Linked DNA regions of Callithrix jacchus. The protein of the gene in region 2 interacts with the protein of the main gene of each other region in a pairwise test. Links are inferred from orthologs where the notes say so. Each region holds a gene or a part of one and is shown on either strand. Other genes may lie near its edges.

Region 1 (10,151 bases), on a different chromosome or scaffold from region 2:
GTGAGGAGACTGGTGGTGGACCTGGGATCGATGGGCTGTGGGAGAAGGAAACTGAGGGAAGCCGGCAGAGCCACATTCCATTCTCTCCTCCCACCCTTAGCCATATAGCCTGGATCAATAACTTCACCTCTCTGTGCCTTCCCCTTCTTATCTGTCCTGTGGGGGGAGCCAGAGCTGTCATGAGGGTGTGGCCACAGCCTCCTGGTTCCCGCCTTGTGGTGACCCCCCACACGGTAGTATGGTTTATCTGTAGGTCCATAATAACATGTGTGTCGCTTTTGAGGCTGGGTTATAAACGACATTTTGGCTTCTACCTTGCTCTCTCTTGGTCACTTGCTCTGGGGGATGTCAACTGCCATGTTATCAGGAGAGACTCTCATGATGAGGAATGAATGCCTTGTGCTGAACGCCACGTGAGTGAGTTTGGGAGCGAAGTCTCCAGGCTTCAGATGACTGCAGCCCCTACCGCCCTCAGGACTGCAAGCTCCTGTCAGACCCTGAGCTGCTTCCAAGTTCCTGACCCACAGAAACTGAGGGGATAGAACTTGGAAGTTTAAGACCCCACCATTTGGGATTATTTGTTATGTGGCAAAGGGTAACTGATACAGAGGGTAAAAGCCTTGCACAGAGTTGGGGCTATAGACTAGGTGAGATCTATAGCTCTGGATTCAGGAGAGAGGGCTGGGCTGGAGTCACAGGTTTAGAAGCCTTTGGCTCAGACACAGTAATGGAATTGATGGAGGTGGCTGAGCCGGTCCATGGAGAGGGGCACATGGAGAGGAGGGGAAGGTGTTAGACAGAAACTTGGGTATAAGTGTCCAGGGTAAAACAATAGGAGCATCTCTGTAAGTCTACGAGGAGGAGCTAGAGAAGAAGGAGGGGTCCAGGGAGCTCCCACAGAAGGAGAAAGGTTTTCCTGACAAGTAGGAGGTGAGGTCCACTAGGCAGTGAGAGTTGGGAGAGGAAGGAGGGAGACAGGGAGGGGACTCAGAACTCCAGGCTTCATTCCTACGGATCAGTTTTGTCAACTGCTGGTCCCCCTTTGCCCTCCCAGCACTGTACCAGGCTTGGTTCCTTCCTATAACAGGTGTAGATCTGATAATGAACAGCCCCCTCCAGGCCAGCCTAGCCCAGGGCAGACCAGGATCAGTCTCTTTACCACAGGAGCCTGGATGCTTGGTGGCCACCTGGAAAAGAAAGGTGCAGAGGGCTAGGGGCAGCTGTAAGCCAGAAGCCAGCCTTCCCTTGCAGGCTTGCAACCCTGAGCAATATGGGGCAAAAGGTAACTGATACAGAAGGTAAAAGTACCTGGCACAGTGCCTTGCACAGAGTTGGGGCTATAGAATAGGTGAGATCTATAGCTCTGGATTCAGGAGAAAGGGCTGGGCTGGAGTCACGGGTTTGGAAGCCTTCAGCTCAGACACAGTAATGGAACTGATGGAGGTGGCTGAGCCAGTCCATGGAGTGGGGCACCTGGAGAAGAGGGGATGGTGTTGGACAGAAACAGCTTCCAATGTAAACCCTCTCCACCCCCAATCCCCGAAACCAACAGATCCAGATGGTTTACAGGAGACGCCTATAGAACATGCAAACTACAGAAAAATCCCAGTCTAGTGAATAGACACTCAGGTATGTTGTGAGGCTCATGGAACTTTGATAGCAAAGCCAGATGAGGAAAGAATAAGAATGGAAAATAATAGCGTATCTCAGTCATTCATATGGACATGAAGACCCTAAGTAAAATATTAGCAAATGGAATCTAGCAGTATATTGAAAAAGTAATACATCATGACATGTGAAATTCCTTTAATAAAAATATATTGACTTAAAAAATATATCATCAAGGCGAGTTTAGCCTGGGAATACATGGATAGCTTAATATCATAAGATACAATAATATATCTTATTTAATATAGTATAATACAATCCATGTAATTCATTGCATTGCAATGGGGAGAATCTCACATTGATAAAATTCAGCACCCATTGACAGTAAAGAAGAATAGTGCTTCCTAACCCTCATAAAGAATGTCTATCAAAAAATCCACAACAAACACTGCAGTTAACAGTGATATGTTAGAAGCAGTCAAAACCAGGATAGAAGTGGCCATACCATCACTGCTTTTCAACATTGTGTGGGAGAATTTAGTCACCACAGTGCAGCAAGAAAAAGGAAAAAAAGGACAGGAAGATACCGCACTGTCATGACTTACAGACTCTATGATTATTTGCACTGCGAATTCAAGAGAACCTACACACTTAATAGAACTGAAAAAGAGTTTAATTTTGCTGGCTATAAGATTACATAAAAACCAACTGCATTTCTTTCCTTCTTTCTTTTCTTTCTTTCTTTCTTTCTTTCTTTCTTTCTTTCTTTCTTTCTTTCTTTCTTTCTTTTCTTTTCTTTCTCTTTTTTTGAGACAGTCTCACTCTGTCACCAGGCACCAGGCTGGGATGCAGTGGCGCGACCTTGTCTCACTGCAACCTCCGCCTCCTGGGTTCAAGCAATTTTCCTGCCTCAGCCTCCCAAGTAGCTGGGACTACAGGTGCACACCACCATGCCCAGCTAATTTTTTTGTATTTTTAGTAGAGACGGGGTTTCACCATGTTGGCCAGTATGGTCTCGATCTCTTGACCTCGTGATATGCCCGCCTCGGCTTCCCAAAGTGCTGGGATTACAGGCATGAGCCACTGTGCCCGGCTCAACTGCATTTCAATAGCCATCTGTCAATTATAAAAGAAAAATTTGAAGGTACAATTAACAATAGTTCTAAAAATTGTTAAGATAGGAAGGACTAAGTCTGACAAAAACACCAACAGAATTAATCCATCAGTTTTTATTTGGGGGATAGAAGCCCTGAGAGGGGAAATGACTCTTTCAAGGACACTCAGTAAGTCAGAGACAATTCTGGATTTTCAGTGGTACCAAATTCTGGAAGTCTGAGTATTGGGTAATTTTGGTATTGTCCTCCTGTTTAAAAAAAATAATAAAAGCCGGAGTGAGGTGGGGTGGGGTGGGGTGCAAAAAAACAAACAAACCAAAACTCGTATTTTTTAATTATAAATTCAATAGTCATGTGTTCTGATTATAAATTCAATATTCATGAAAATGCAGAAGAACACTAAGAAGCAATGTCATTAACATTCCCATACTATTATCTTCAACATGATGATCAATGGTTTGATGTATTTCCCTCAAAATTTTTGTCTGTGTATATTTATGTTTTAAAAAATAAAATCAGGATTATATCATGTATACTAGTTTGTGTACTGATTATTTTCACACACATTTCCCTGTATTCTCCCCTAGTCTTGTGAAGTTGATAATGTAGCACTCAGTTATGTTGATGAAGCATATGTCATTTATTTAACCTATCAATTTGAGTTTTTGGAGAAAAATCAAGTATCAAATATGACTGTGATGATGCTGATAAGAATTTCAGCCCCAGAGCCAGCTCACACACATGCAGATGTGAAACCCGAGTGAGTTTCTAAGGCCAGTGGTTATTCTGGTGGAGAAGCGGAAACAGCAAACCCACCATCAGGGAACTGGCTTCACCGGAAGGGGACCGCGACCTAGCTAGCAGGAAGCGAATGGGACTTGGAACAAGTGGACTCATGGAGACCAATGAGCCCTAAGGCCTTAGGAGCTGCCCATCCTCTGAAGCCTTGGCCTCCTTCCTGGTGAAGTGGGGACAATACCGGCGCCAGCCTTGTCTAGCGCGGAGCTCCTCCAGGCCCCAGAGCCTTTGCACTGGTCGTTTTGTCTGCTGTGGTGGCTCTGCCCTCCTCTCCACTTGGCTGCCCATATTGCAGAGCCTCTGGGCCCGGCTGCTCTTTACTGTTCTGCCCTCCAAGCCGGATGGGTGGCCCCGGAGGCTTCCTCACAGCTCTCATAGAAGCAGTCTCCTCAATGCAGGGCAGGCAGGAGGGGCTCTGGCCGCAGGTCCGGGTCCAGGTCTTCCTTGGCCACTGCGTTTGAAGCAGGGGTCCCCTTCCCTTCTGCTCCATCAAATCCTCTAATCACTCCCCTTCCAACACTTATGATCATAACCTGTCATTATTTTGTCTACTAGCTGTTACCTTGAGTTTTGTCTGTCTTGTCCTTCCATTAGAACCCGCCTCCGTCTTGGTGGGCGCTGTATCTCCTAAACCCCCAGGCCTGAGATATAGTGGGGCCCCATACAAGTTCGTGAAATGATTGAGGAGAAACGCTGCGCGACACCAGCCCTGAGGACGCAGTGGGCTTGTGGCTGGGCGGACCCCAGAATGTGGGCGGAGGCTGGACGTAGGGGCGGGGTTTAGGGGCGGAGCCTAGGGGACCGGACTGGGGCTTCGGGGCGGGGCTTCGGGGCTGCGGTGGTGTGGTCTTAACCACGCGGCTCCGGGTGCGCTAGCTGAGTTCCCCCGGCCGCCGGTCCCTTTGGCTTCCCGCCCGCGCCGCCGGTAGGGGGCGCCCGCGCTCGTGGCGCCTAGGCTCTGCTGGGAAGGCGCCGCCCGCGCCGGGCAGCTGGAGCCGCAACTCCGGGCGCGGGCTCAGTCGTCCCCTCTGCCGCCGCCGCCGCCACCGCCGTCGCCGGGCGCGGGCTCGCTCGTCCCTGCGCTCGCGTTCTCCGGCCGCGGGCAGCTCCCGGCCCGGCCGCCGCCGCGCAGTGAGTGGGGCTGGCGCTGGGCTTGCGGGGCCGGGGCTTGGAAGGGCCGGGTTTCCGGACATGCCTGAGCCGAGCGGGCAGGGGAGCTGGGCTGAGGAGGTTCTGGCCGGGGGAGCCTGGAATCGGGCGGCGGCGGGGCCGCGCTGAGGGGACCGTGCGTCCAGGGGCTGGCACGAGCCCGCGGCGGAGGTGCCCGCGGTCGGGCCTGGGCGGGGGTTCCGGGGCCCGCCCGGCGGGGACGCGCGATTTCGGCGCGCCCCTCGTCCGGGCCCGGAGCATCGCCCGCCCTACCCCTGGCGGGGTCGGGTTGCGGGGGCTTTGCTGGCGGGGCAACAGCGAAGCGTAGCCCAGACGGGGACATTCGGGGTGTGCTCGCAGATGATTGATTTTGGGAGATGGCGCTTATTAGCCACCAATTGCCCTAGTTTAAAACGTGAGGCAGGGCTCTAAACCCTGCCTGTGGGCTTTTCTGCCCTGAAGAGACACTCAGATTGCAGCTGAGTTCTTTAAGCTTAGATTTGTGTGTGTGGTGGCATTTTTAATGCTTGATGTCAAGGTGATAAATGACCGTGGTAATGGGGAGCCCCTGCAGCACCTGCTGGGCTGACGGTGGAGGCTGTGTCTGGGGGTGGGACGGGGAAATGAAACGTGACAGAGATCCTGTTTGGATATTCTGCTGAAGTTATCATGTTTCTGTTCAAGTATACCAGTTCTAGAACAAGTTGATGGATCCAATTTTAGGACTTTGTGATAAAGGAGGTTTGGGTGGCAAAGTGGCCCGGGATGACCCGGCTCGCTAAGCAGATTTGGAGTAGCCCAAGTATCTCTCCATATCCCCCTGGCATGTTCTTTTTTTCGCTGTCACGAATGCCCTATTACTTGAATCATCCTGGGATAGGAAAGCAGCTTGGGGACAGCATGTGACACAGTCCTGAGCCCAAGATTGAGATGTTTTCAAATGAACAAATGTGTAGCTAGGAAAAGGAAAATGTTTTTGTCAGCAGTGTTGGTAGGTTGAGAGAATTTTCTCTTTGGCGGAAAACCATCAGTCCATATTGATATTTGATTTTGTGATTTGCCTTAGATATGAAGGATGCAGCGGTCAGGGTAGTCATGGATGCTATTCCTAAGTTTTGTGATTTGAATTTTCATAAATCATATTTTAACCCAAGTATCACTACTTAAAGGGCTCTTAGGGTGAACCCTATGAATCCTTCAGTGTGTTTGGATTTTGATATTTGGGGTCCATTTAAAATGGAGTACATGTATTTACTGGGATTCAGCTTTACCTTGGAGATAATCCTGAGTCATGCTTTAAATAAGTTCCTTCTGAGATCAAGAGCTCAGATGTCTGGTGATCTCTGGAAAAGCTAGGCACCCCCCTTTACCTGTATGTACTTCTCCCTTCTGGAGCTCTGGGAAAAGGAGCACCTGGGGAGATTTGAAGCAAATTAAGAGGCTGCCTTCTCTATATTTGCCCTGTCTCCAGGCCAGTGCTCTAAATTACTTGTGTTCACACTCAAGTTTCTCATGTTAACATAGAAATTTTGTTTATACTGCTGCCACTAGTGTTTTCATATTTAATACTTGCCAATTTGCAGATGGTTTTATATTCGTGATTTCACTCATTTTCTCCATTTCCCCAAAGAAGAAGTTGGGCATAGAGTGATTTTCTCAGGGTCTCATAATCAGTAATGGAGCAGAATTCGATTACAGGACCTCCCAGGGAACTGTTCTCTTCTTTGTATTGTTGTGTTACTCTTAGAGGCCAATTTTTGCCTTTCTTTTGTGCCTAAATGGTGTAATTACTTTTGAGAAGGTGGTATTATCCTGTTTTTTCTTGTGGAAACTGAGTTAAGAGGAGTGTTATGATTTTGTGACTATCTATGACAGTTTTTTTTAATATTAGGTCACTTTTCAACCTATAGCTCCTCTTTTCTAGACCACATGGTTGAGAGGGGAGAAAGAGAAAATGATTACTTTTCCTGCAGTCATATGGTTAAGGATAATCTAACACCATAATCACATTATCCTTGTATGCCTGGCTACTTGTGCTGGCCTGTGTGTGAATGTTAACCCCAAAGACTCCTTTAGATGTCACTGAACCAGTTACTATAAAAAGTATTTCACTTTCAAACTCCCACATTTCGAGAAGAGCAAAACTCAGTACAAAGGCAATTTTGAAGGTAAGTATAGAAAGAGGGAGTTTATTGAGTCTTTTCTGAATGCCAGACACAAAAACGTTTCAGTAGAAAAGCATTTTAAAGGGCTGCCTGGAAACTCTGGGAAGGTAGTAGTTGGAGGTTTTTATTATTCATTGAAGTTTGGAGGTTTATATTGCAACATGTAAGTTGTTATATAGGATTAGGACTTTGGCCCTGGAGAATTCTTAGTCTATAGCAGAAATGATAAACTCAGAATATTTTTGTTAAGTTAGTTCATCATAACCAGTAAGCCTGTAATTGCAGTTCCACAGTGGTAGGGAGAATTGCATTTAAGGGTTCTTAGGTTACTTTTTAAGCTATTAACTTACTGAATTATGTATTCTTCAGATATGCTACTTTAGAAAATTAATACTTTCTTTTAAGGCTTCTATAAATTCTTCAGTATGTGTTTTCTTAAGCTTAATTACCTGCTAACATGACACTGTCAGAATTTATACATTAGTCATAATAACTTTTGAAGCTTAAACATGGGTGAATTTTCAGCACTGCTTTATATTCTTTGGGGAATGGTCGGTGGTGTTTTCACAGGAATTTTATTTGCGTCAAAGGTTAAATCTTTTCAGGTGAACTGATTTTACAGAGTCAGAGACTTCTTTGATCTTTATGGCTGTTTGTGCTTGGTTGCATTTGCTGTCTTTCAAAACCATCATTAGTTTTAGTAAGGAAAGTCACTGTAAAGGAAAGTTTTTTTCATTTTTCATTTGTTACCATTTCTGGCAGATTTTCTGAAACATTAGATATTTCTTTGCCTTCATCTAGTAAAACAGGCCTATTTGATGCCCATTTCAAGATCTTCCTTCTGCTGCCTATCTTGTGGTCATTTAACTTCTCATTAAGCCCTCCACTGGAGACTATGCCAGAAGGGAGAGAAGATGAAAAGCAAATAAATCATTTTCTAATTGTTAGCAGCTCTGGAAAATGATTTAGTAGAAGAGATTGAAACCATTCTGGAAATTCCTTGGGATTATGTTATATTTCATTCATCTGCATGGTTTCAGAGATGTTCCTAATGGTCATCAATTCAGAATTCAGAAGCTGATTATTATCCAGCTAGTGAATAACAAGGAATTCTTTGTGCCTTTTTAAAAATTTGCTTCTTGCTGTATCTAAGTATCTCTACAGGAGATATTTAGAAGCAGGTAGAGATAAAATTTAATCAATACTGTTTTTGCTCTTTGAACTTTTAATGAACAATTTGATTTCTTTAGACAGTTTAGTCATTGTTATTGGAAATGACTAATAGTGACTTTGCTTCAGTTTATTTTGATGTATCTTATATACAAGTATAGGAAGGCTTTTGGGTACTTTTTAAGAAATGTGGGCTATAGATTCCCATAATTGCTTTCCTGATTTATTAAGCATGAGGTTTCATTACATCTTTGTACCAGAACTTTTGCATTTGCTGTGGACCAGATTCAGGGACATCATCTAATTTTCTTTCTTTCTTCTTCTTCTTTTTTTTTTTTTTAATAATGCTCAAGAAGTTACCTTGTTTTGATTTAGCAGTAAAAAAAAAAAAAGATTAATGGTAGACAGACTTTTCATTAACAGTGGTAACATTGATGTATGCTTTTTTTCTTTTTTTTTCTTTTTTTTCTTGTCTTTGGTCTTCTGTTTCTCATTTAATCATTTGGATATTCATGGATTGGAGTTCTTTATTTTTGAGACAGAGTTTCGCTCTGTTAACCAGCTTGGGTGGTGCAGTCTCGGCTCACTACCACCTCTGCTCACTACAACCTCCACCTCCCAAGTGATTCTTCTGCTTCAACCTCCTGAGTAGTTGGGACTACAGGCACCACCACACCCGGCTAATTTTTGTATTTTTAATAGAGACGGCGTTTCTCCATGTTGGTCAGGCTCATCTTGAACTCCTGTCCTCGTGATCCACTGGCCTCGGCCTCCCAAGTGCTGGGATTACTGGCGTGAGCCACCGCACCAGGCCCTGGATTGGAGTTCCTTATGTCACTGCAGACAGAGGACAGCAGCCATTATTCACACTAATTGAATGGGTTCCTGTCTTTTTTTGTGTGTGAGCGGGACTCAGGAGAATTTTTACAAACCCATGTGTCTGTTTAGTTAGGCTGTTACTGTAAAATTTGTAAATAAAACCCTACTGGGTGGATAGGGTTAATAGATGGCTAGTAGAGAGTTTAAAGTTAATCTTTTTCAATTTCTTGTCTCTTAGATTCTGTTCTTTCAATTTCTACCCTAGGAGGGGATTTATGGAAAAATCTAGACTAAGAGTCAGAACATGCAAGTTCTTATCGAGTTATTTCCCCACTGTGATGCCTTAAGCTAGTCACTTAATCTGCCCTGTTTGTCTGTTTTGCATCTCTAAGATGAGGATAGTAATCCATGCTCGCCTACTGGTGTCAGGAATGTTGTAGGGGGAAAAAAAGTCTTTCATACCTGTCTATTAAATTGTTTCTTCATTCTAGAATCCCTTCTCAGGTTGTCCAGATTTTCTTTCAAGGATTCAACTGAGTGAGCTCTTCCCAGAAGTCCTCCATTTTCCCATTTGGAATCTTACTTTTCCCCTCTCATGGGCCTCTGCTGGTTCATCTGTTATATGGCACTTTGAATTCTGTTCTGTACTTCAGTCATTGCATGTTGCCTTCCATTATAGATGGAAAGCTCCATGAGGGCAAAGACTGTACTTTTTGTATTTCCATGTATCCATGTTGCACATAGGCACCCCATCCACCCCAGAGGTGACCCACAAGAATTGTTGGCTGAACGAATTATTATTGAGGTTGTCAGGAATGAATACTTTGGATGATGAGAAAATGCCAAAGATGAGCATCTTACCAGAACTTTTGGATGAGTGGCCTTTTAAATTGCTCAGTTACTAATCTGTTGTTATCAGTGACTGAATCAGATTCTGGCAAGACAAATTGGCAAAGCCCGTTTCTTGGTTCTGTTTACTTCGGATACTATTTGTGAAGCAAGTCAGAGGAATGAAAGACTGCCATAACAATCTTGAATTTGACATTTGTTCCATTTCTCGCCCCATAGCATGTGGAGGCCTATCTATATCCTACCGCTCTGTGTAAAGAATAAAAACTGACTGCCTAGAGCCTGGTCCACATTTTAGTTTGTGTGCTTTGAAGAGTTTGCAAGGTAGAGTAATAGATGCTTCAGGCTCTGATTTCAGCCCATGCTGTGCTATGCAAATGTTCTCTACATGCCTGAGTGACCTTTTGAGAAAGAGCCTTTGTGATCTTCTGTAGCCAGGGCTTGTTCTGGGAATTCTGTGCCAGATTCCTCTAAAAGT
Region 2 (8,319 bases):
GAGTTAGGACGAGGGCTCAATGCAGATGAAGCCCTTCCAAGTCAGGCCTAGCTCACGACAAGCAGCGTCGGGTTAGCGTGCAGCTGCTCCAAAGACCACCCTCAGGTCTAACCGTTCACTAGAAAGACTCATAGAACCCCCTGAGGACTGCTGTGCTGGGGACTTAGTTTATAACAGTTTAACATCAGCCATGGGGACACACAGGAGGGGCAGGAGAGGTCAGTGCCCCTGGAGCTTCCCAGGTCCTCTCTGCCATCAGGGTACATCAGCCTCCCAGCTTTGATGCCTGGCAGCACATACACAGACCTAGAACACAAGCAGGAGGCCAGGCACGGAGGCTCATGCCTGTAATTCCAGCACTTTGGGAGGCCGTGGCTGGGCTGGTGGATCACCTGAGGTCAGCAGTTCAAGACCAGCCTGGCCAACATGGTGAAACCCCGTCTCTCCTAAAAATACAAAAAGTAGCCAGGCCTGGTGGTCGGGTGCCTGTAATCCCAGCTACTTGGGAGACTTAGGCAGGAGAATCGCTTGAACCTGGGAGGCAGTTTGCAATGAGCTGAGATTGCACCACTAGACTCCAGTCTAGGTGACAGAGTGAGTCTCTGTCTCAAAAAAAAAAAAAAAATTAGCTGGGCATGGTGACGGGAGCCTGTAATCCTAGCTATTTGGAAGACTGAGACAGGAGAATCACTTGAACCTGGGAGGTAGAGGCTGCACTGAGCCGACGTTGCGACACTGCACTCCAGCCTGGGTGACAGAGCTAGACTGCATCTCAAAAAAAAAAAAAAAATGCCGGCACTGTGGCCTACACCTGTGATCCCAGCACTTTGGGAGGCAGAGGCAGGTGGATGACTGGAGATCAGGAGTTTGAGACCAGCCTGGCCAACATGGTGAAACCTCGTCTCTACTAAAATATTACAAAATTAGTCAGGTGTGGTGGCACGTACTTGTAATCCCAGCTGCTTGGGAAGCTGAGGCAGGAGAATTGCTTGAACCCAGGAGGTGGAGGTTGCAGTGAGCCAAGATCACACACTGCATTCCAGCCTGAGCGATAAAGTAAGACTCCCATCTCAAAAAAAAAAAACAAAAACAGGCAGGACAGGCTCTGGGGCAGACAGGCCTGGGTCCAGATCCTGCTCTGTCCGGTTGCAGCAAGTGACCTCAGGCTCATGGCCCTGTGCCCTGCCCGGCCTCCCTCGGGGTCGCAGAGAACAACAGCACCGATGGCCAAGGCCCCCCTCCTGCCCTGTGTGGGGTTGTTTTTTTGGTCTTTTCTGTGACCCTTTAGGTCAGGCACTGCTATTGGAACACACCCCCAGGGGTGCTGGTGGGTCACCCCATCCTGGGAGAAGGGAGAGTGGGCTTTAGAACCCAGGAGTGGTGGGCCTGAGGCTCGGGGCTCCAGCCACCTCATAAGGCCATCACCACTGCCTCACAGCCCTAGGCTGTGGGTTAAACCTGCCCCAGGGAGCCTGGTGTCTTGTCACACAGGGCCTCTGCCGCCTCATCTTCCCATCCCAGATCGGTCCAGGCACAGGATGTAGACATCACAGGCCTGTAAGGGAGGCCAGGGCTGGCCATCGCGTCGCTGTGGCTGAGAGCTTGGGCTCTGTTTGCAGTCTGGATCGGAACCCTGGCTCCATCACCTCCCGGCTGTGTCGCTAGCGATGTGACTTGGAGCCTTGGTGTCCACACCTGAAAAGGGGGTGCAGTGATCACAGCAGCCCGATGTTTGAGTATTCGATGAGATGGCCCAAAGGGCACACTTAGCACGGAGCTGGTATCCAGGCTGAGTGCACTCCCAGCTGGTGTCCTTACCTGACTCTGCCGCTCACCAGCCCAGACGTGGCTCTGCACCCTGCCCTCATCCCCTCTTCTGTGAAGAGGGAGCTAAGAGCATACACCTCTAGAGCCTGCAGTGGAGCCAGATGAGAAGCACCCACTGTTGGTGTGCAGTTATGTCTGTCTGTCTGTCTCACACAGATTCTATTCCCGTTTTCCATTGCTCCAGGATCTCCGGCGGAAAGCGGCCCGGCTGGTGGCTGCTAAGTGCACGCTGGCAGCCCGCGTAGACAGTTTCCATGAGAGCACGGAGGGGAAGGTGAGGAGGGGAAGGAGGGGGCGGCCGGGCGTCCTTTCCTCTGGGCCTGGGGTGTCTGTGCGGGGAGAGCCCCAGCAGGGAGCTCACCCCAACAAGCACTGTCCTACCAGGGCAGAGGCAGTGTTTCTGCTGACCCTCCCTGGGGTCAGGCGCCCCTTCCCCAGTGTGTTCATTCCCTAGGGCTGCTATAGGAAGGTAGCACAAACCTACTGGCTTAAAACAGCACAGGTTTGGCTGGGCAAGTTGGCTCATGCCTGTAATCCCAGCACTTTGGGAGGCCAAGGCAGGCAGATCACAAGGTCAGGAGTTCGAGACCAGCCTGGCCAACATGGTGAAACCACGTCTCTATTATAGATACAAAAATTAGTCAGGCATGGGGTGCGCACCTGTAATCCCAGTTACTCTGGAAACAGGCAGGAGAATCGCTTAGACCCAGGAGGCAGAGGTTGCAGTGAGCTGAGATTCCACTATTGCACTCCAGCCTAGGTGACAGAGTGAGACTCCATCTAAAAAAAAATCAGCACAGGTTTACCATCTGTAGGTCGGAAGTCCAAAATGGGTTTCATTGGGCTGAAGTCAGGGTGTCAGCCCAGAGGCTTCCTTCTGGGGGACTCCTTGCCTTTTCCAGCTGCTAGGGGTCGCCGGCATCCCTTAGCTCGTGGCCCTTCTTCCTTTGCGAGCCAGCTGCGCGGCACCCTCAGACCTATCTCACCCTGCTTCTGTCTTCAGATCTTGGCCTCTGTCTTTCCCCATCTATTTTAAGGGCCCTTGTGGCTATACTGAGCCTGCTCACATGGTCCAGGATAGTCTTCCGAGCTCACACTCCTTAAACTCCTTAACCTCTTCACGTCCCTTTTGCCCTGAGGTGACATTCACAGGTTCTGGGAGTTAGAACACGGACCTCCTGGGGCATGTGTGTGTTGGTGGGGGCATAGTTTGCCTTCCGCACCAGGATCTGTCCCCCTCCAACAGGGGATACTATTCAAGTAATTATTCAGTTCACTTCTGTCTCCTTGGTAGATGTACTCGGGAGAGGAGACATGTTTTCTGTCTTGTGAACTGTTGCTTGCCAAGCACCCCGCCTGGCTCGGCAATCAGGTGTTCCATCTCCCCCTCCTCCTTTCCCTCTCTCCGTCTCACCCCCGGCCTGGGTGTAGGGAATGCAGCTGTGAGTAGCGCAGACAGAGCCCTGTCCCATGGCGTGGATACTCTCACTGGGGCCGGGTTGGGAGACAGTCCACAGGGGCAATCTGTCCTGTGCCTAGTAGGACTAGGTAAACATCAAGAAGAAAAACGCGGCCGGGCGCAGTGGCTCACGCCTGTAATCCCAGCACTTTGGGAGGCCGAGGCGGGTGGATCACGAGGTCAAGAGATCGAGACCATCCTGGCCATGGTGAAACCCCGTCTCTACTAAAAATACAAAAATTAGCTGGGCGTGGTGGCACGCGCCTGTGGTCCCAGCTACTCGGGAGGCTGAGGCGGAAGAATCGCTTGAAATCAGGCAGAGGTTGCAGTGAGCTGAGATTGCGCCACTGCGCTCCAGCCTGGTGACAGAGTAAGACTCCATCTCAAAAAAAAAAAAGAAGAAAAAGGCAGGTGATTGGGGTGGGGAGACATTAGGTGCTGGTTTAACTGGAAGTCGGGGGGACTTAGAGCTCTGAGGAGGTGAGGGTTTAACACAGACCTGAATGAAGTCAGGGAGCAAGGCACGTGGGTTCTCTGGAGAGAGTCTTCCCAGTACGGGTAGTGGTCGGTCGGTGCAAAGGCCCTGAGGCAGGAGCGCCAAGAGCCCTGGAGGAGAGAGGGAGGCCCTGGTGGAGCCTTGTGCGCCCCGAGGAGAACTCTGGCGGCAGCGGAGGGCCTGGGGGGCCAGTTTGGAATTGTTCTGAAAGATCTGGGATCTGCGGTGCGGAGAGGAACAGTGGAGTCGGCTGCCGGCTCTCAGAGTTGCTGATCGCTTACCCGAGGAGAATGAAGGTGGAGGGTGGAAGGCTGGGGAGGAGGAGCAGGAATTCTGCTTGGCCCTGGTACATTTGAAGGGCTGTTAACAATCCCAGTGTCAAGTAGACAGTTGTTTACAGGGTACAGAACCCAGAGGAGGGGTCTGAGCCAAGATGAGGGCATCAGATTGTAGACAGATCTGAAAACCCAGAGAGCAGATGAGATCCTCCGGGGCCCCGGAGCAAGGAAGGAGCGCTGGGGTGAGCAGTCTGCTCGGGTGGACAGGCAGAGGACAGGCAGACAGCGGACACAGGAGGCCTGGGTGGGCAGCCCACGTGAGCAGCAGCAGGACCCACCCCTTGCTCTCACCCTCCCTAGGTGGGCTACGAACTCAAGGACGAGATCGAGCGCAAGTTTGACAAGTGGCAGGAGCCGCCGCCTGTGAAGCAGGTGAAACCACTGCCTGCGCCCCTGGATGGGCAGCGGAAGAAGCGAGGTGGCCGCAGGTGAGAGCCCCTGGGGGTCCAGTAGGCATGGGGGTCGTGGAGTGGAGGAGCCGGTGTCCCCCCAGCTGACTCCCTGGCACCGCCTGCCCACCCAGGTACCGCAAGATGAAGGAGCGGCTGGGGCTGACCGAGATCCGGAAACAGGCTAACCGCATGAGCTTCGGAGAGGTTAGATGCCCCTAGCGCTGAAGCCATGAGGAGAACTCACGGCCACAGGCAGCCGCCGCCGCCCCCTGCCTCCCACCGCCTTCCCTCCTCTCTGCCCTGTGGCCCTGGCTCATGTCTAGGGCACGATCCTGGCCTCTACTCTGGTTTCTATCCATTCAGCCCCAAAGTGACCCTTGTCACCCTCAGAGTCCCTGCTGCTTCCCATCACCCCAGGCTCCTCGGCCAGTTTCTCCTGCCCTCTGCACGGCCCCTCCCTCCGTGAGCCCCGTCTCCTCCGTTATCCCAGTGTCATCCCCTTGGTCCTGCAAGACCCAGCTCAGAGGCCACCTCATCCTGTGGAACCTGTTCTGGTTCCAGACACCCCCCAACCCACATGCATAAGGAAGGCCTCTCAACTCTGAGCTCACAGAGCAGCGCCGGGACCCAGCCCCTTTCAGGCTCCCCAGCATCCCCGGCTTGTAGGGGCCCCCAGGCCTCAGCTGGGCCGAGTGGGTACCCGAGCAGGTGCCCATGGGGCCAGCCAGCTGGTGACCGCGGGGCTTCTAGCTGGTGGAGGGGGTGCCTGAGTGGCTGGAGGGCGGGGTCTGGTCCCTGACGGCAGGGGCTTCCCTTTCCCCCTAGATCGAGGAGGACGCCTACCAGGAGGACCTGGGATTCAGCCTGGGCCACCTGGGCAAGTCGGGCAGTGGGCGCGTGCGGCAGACACAGGTCAACGAGGCCACCAAGGCCAGGATCTCCAAGACGCTGCAGGTATGTGCCGACCTGGGTGGGGCCAGGGACCGAGGGACGCAAGGTAGGGTGAGCCCAGATAACAGCCTCCCTGTCCTTCCCACAGCGGACCCTGCAGAAGCAGAGCGTGGTATATGGCGGGAAGTCCACCATCCGCGACCGCTCGTCGGGCACGGCCTCCAGCGTGGCTTTCACCCCACTCCAGGTACTTGCCCTGGGCCAGCTCTGTCCCCAGCCCCAAGATGCTGGCAAGGCCCCTTGCCCTCTGCCCCTGTGAACAGGCCACAATGAGTCCCCTTACAGGGCTGTCACGGGGGGTGTGGTGAAGACATGCCAAAGGCATCGGCAGCCCCTGGCACACAGCAAGTGCTCGAGGTTAGCAGAGACGAGAGGCGCACAACAGTCCTCATGAGCGGGGACCGGGGCTACATCCCAGGGACCCTGTTTTTCTCTGTGGGGCCATGAACGGGTTACATTGCTCAGCCTCTAGGACCTCAGTTTGAAATGGCTAGAGTGGTTAAGGTAACCTCAGGACCCCACTCGAAACAGTTCCCAGCTAGGTGGGCTTGGGTGTCACGTGTGGGTCTGGCCCCCAGCCCAGTCAGCAGTGAGTGGCTTGGAGCACGGCAGTCACCGCACCATCGGCACCGCGGTTTGCCATCCACAGAGCAGGGCGAGCCTGCACCGTGGCTGTGGGACAGTGGGGAGCTCATCTGCTCAGACAGCGGCTGTCGGTGCTCTCGGCTCTGGGGGTGAAGCGGTGAATGAGAGAGACAAGTCTTGCCTTCCTGGAGCCTGTGGGTGGCTGGGCACAGACAGATCAGTAAGATGCCCAGTGTGGTAAAAGGCAGAAATACCAGGGAGGGAAGGACGTGGGAGGTGGGACAGGGAGGCCTTCGTCCTAGCACAGCCAGGGAGGGCCTCACCTTTCCCTGCCTCCACTCCCATGTTATGAGGTGTTCAGTTCTGAAAAAGGAGTGCACAGAAGGCACTTGGTCCTGCACTTGCTGGTGGAGCCTGATGACAGGTCCTGTGCTTATTTTCTCTTTTCTTTCTTTTTTTTTTTTTTTTTTGAGACGGAGTCTGACTCTGTCGCCAGGCTGGAGTGCAGTGGTGCAATCTTGGCTCACTGCAACCTCCGCCTCCTGGATTCAAGCAATTCTCCTGCCTCAGCCTCCTGAGTAGCTGGGATTACAGGCGCCTGCCACCATACCCAGCTAATTTTTGTATTTTTATTAGGGACTGGGTCTCACCATGTTGGCCAGGATGATCTTGATCTCTTGACCTTGTGATCCACCCACCTTGGCCTCCCAAAGTGCTGGAATTACAGGCTTGAGCCACCGCGCCCAGCCTGTTATTATTTTCTTTAGAGACAGAGTCTCGCTCTGTTGCCCAGGCCTTGAAAATATTTAGGAAGTTCCAGCCAGGTGCCGGCGTCTATCGCTGGACACTGTGATCATCAGTAGTGTTGGTGTGATTTGTGCTGGGACCTCCAGCCAGCCACATCCCCCAGAGACTCAGTTTCCTCATCCAGAAACTGAGCAGGATTGGCTGTCCTCAGGCACTGGTGTTTTTAGCAGCCCCTGGGGAACTTGTTAAAAACCTAGGTGCCCTGGTTTCTCCCCACCCTCTCCCCCCAGACCCACTGAGGCAGAATCTTCCAAGGCAGGGCGACTCCAGGGACTGGCAAACTGTCCCATGCCCACCCAAGGCCTGAGTACCACGGGGAAAGGCCTGGGGGGCTCTGGCGTGTCAGTTGGGGCCTTCTCCTTGCCCAACACATCATCCTCTCTCCCTCACCTGCCTAGGGCCTGGAGATTGTGAACCCACAGGCCGCGGAGAAGAAGGTGGCTGAGGCCAATCAGAAGTATTTCTCCAGCATGGCAGAGTTCCTCAAGGTCAAGGGCGAGAAGAGTGGCCTCATGTCTACCTGAATGATAGCGTGTGCCCAACGTGGCTTCCCACTGAAGGGACGTTGAAGTCCAGGCCTTCTGAAGGGCTGGGATGGGGGTTAGGGGTTGTGGCAGGGAGAGCCTTCCCTGCCGCCCACCCGGTGCTCGACTGCCCAGGGAGGGGCCTCGGAAGAAGCCTGGCCCGGCCTCCTCCAGGATGGAGCTCACCGCCCTGGATGGGTTAGAGCAGGTCTTCATGCCTTGTCTTTTTTATTTTAACTGAGAAAGGAGATACTTTTTTGAAGAGAGTGCAATTAAAAAGCACATTATCAAGATCTGTCCTTGGGGAGTGATCATTTTTCAAACAGCTGGGGCAACTAGAATAGTCAGAGCTTCGGAGTTTGGGGAAAAGAGCTTCGCCTCCGGGGCGCACTCCCTCCCCTGTTCCTTTCTCACCAACCCCCTGGAGAACCTCAGTCGCTTTGATAGCAGACGGTGTGGCAGCCGACACCTGAAGATCTCAGCGCAGGCTGACCAAGGTTGCGCTGGCACCTCAGGCCGGTTGCCTCGCCTTTCCGAGCCTCCACAGCTACGCCCAGGCACCCAGGGCTGGAAAGAACGCGCAGAAAGCACTTAGCACAGGGCTCGCGTCAGCACCCAATAACTGGGTCCTGTTACTGGTGTTTTTTAGAGATGAGGCCTCTGTCGCCCAGGCTGGAGTACAGTGATGTAATCATAGCTCACTACGGCCTCAAACTCCTGGTTTCAAGCTGGGATTACAGACGCATGCCACAGTTCCTGGTTAATTTTGAAACTTTTTATAGATGGGGTCGCACTCTTACCCAGGCTGGGCTTGAACTTCTGTGCTCAAGTGATCCTTCCACCTCAGCCTCCCTAAGTGTTGAGATTACAGGCTTCAGCCACTGCGTCTAGCCTCTTACTATATTTTATTTATTCATGTTTTTGAGATGGAGTCTCACTC

What was found.
Region 1: the proteins of PRPF31 (region 2) and KCTD6 interact in binary tests that used the Homo sapiens proteins (3 or more experiments, as listed by UniProt). The two-hybrid records come from large-scale screens. The link is inferred for Callithrix jacchus from reciprocal best matches to the Homo sapiens genes PRPF31 and KCTD6.

The regions. Positions count from the first base shown.
Region 1 is NC_133516.1:40,274,246-40,284,396, forward strand, and holds the start of KCTD6 (BTB/POZ domain-containing protein KCTD6), read left to right. Parts: upstream 1-4,399; 5' UTR 4,400-4,652; intron 4,653-6,594; exon of another isoform or gene 6,595-6,838; intron 6,839-10,151. UniProt on the Homo sapiens protein: Probable substrate-specific adapter of a BCR (BTB-CUL3-RBX1) E3 ubiquitin-protein ligase complex mediating the ubiquitination and subsequent proteasomal degradation of target proteins.
Region 2 is NC_133523.1:47,307,936-47,316,254, forward strand, and holds the end of PRPF31 (U4/U6 small nuclear ribonucleoprotein Prp31), read left to right. Parts: intron 1-2,011; coding exon 2,012-2,101; intron 2,102-4,420; coding exon 4,421-4,548; intron 4,549-4,643; coding exon 4,644-4,716; intron 4,717-5,337; coding exon 5,338-5,466; intron 5,467-5,551; coding exon 5,552-5,650; intron 5,651-7,253; coding exon 7,254-7,379; 3' UTR 7,380-7,672; downstream 7,673-8,319. UniProt on the Homo sapiens protein: Involved in pre-mRNA splicing as component of the spliceosome. Required for the assembly of the U4/U5/U6 tri-snRNP complex, one of the building blocks of the spliceosome.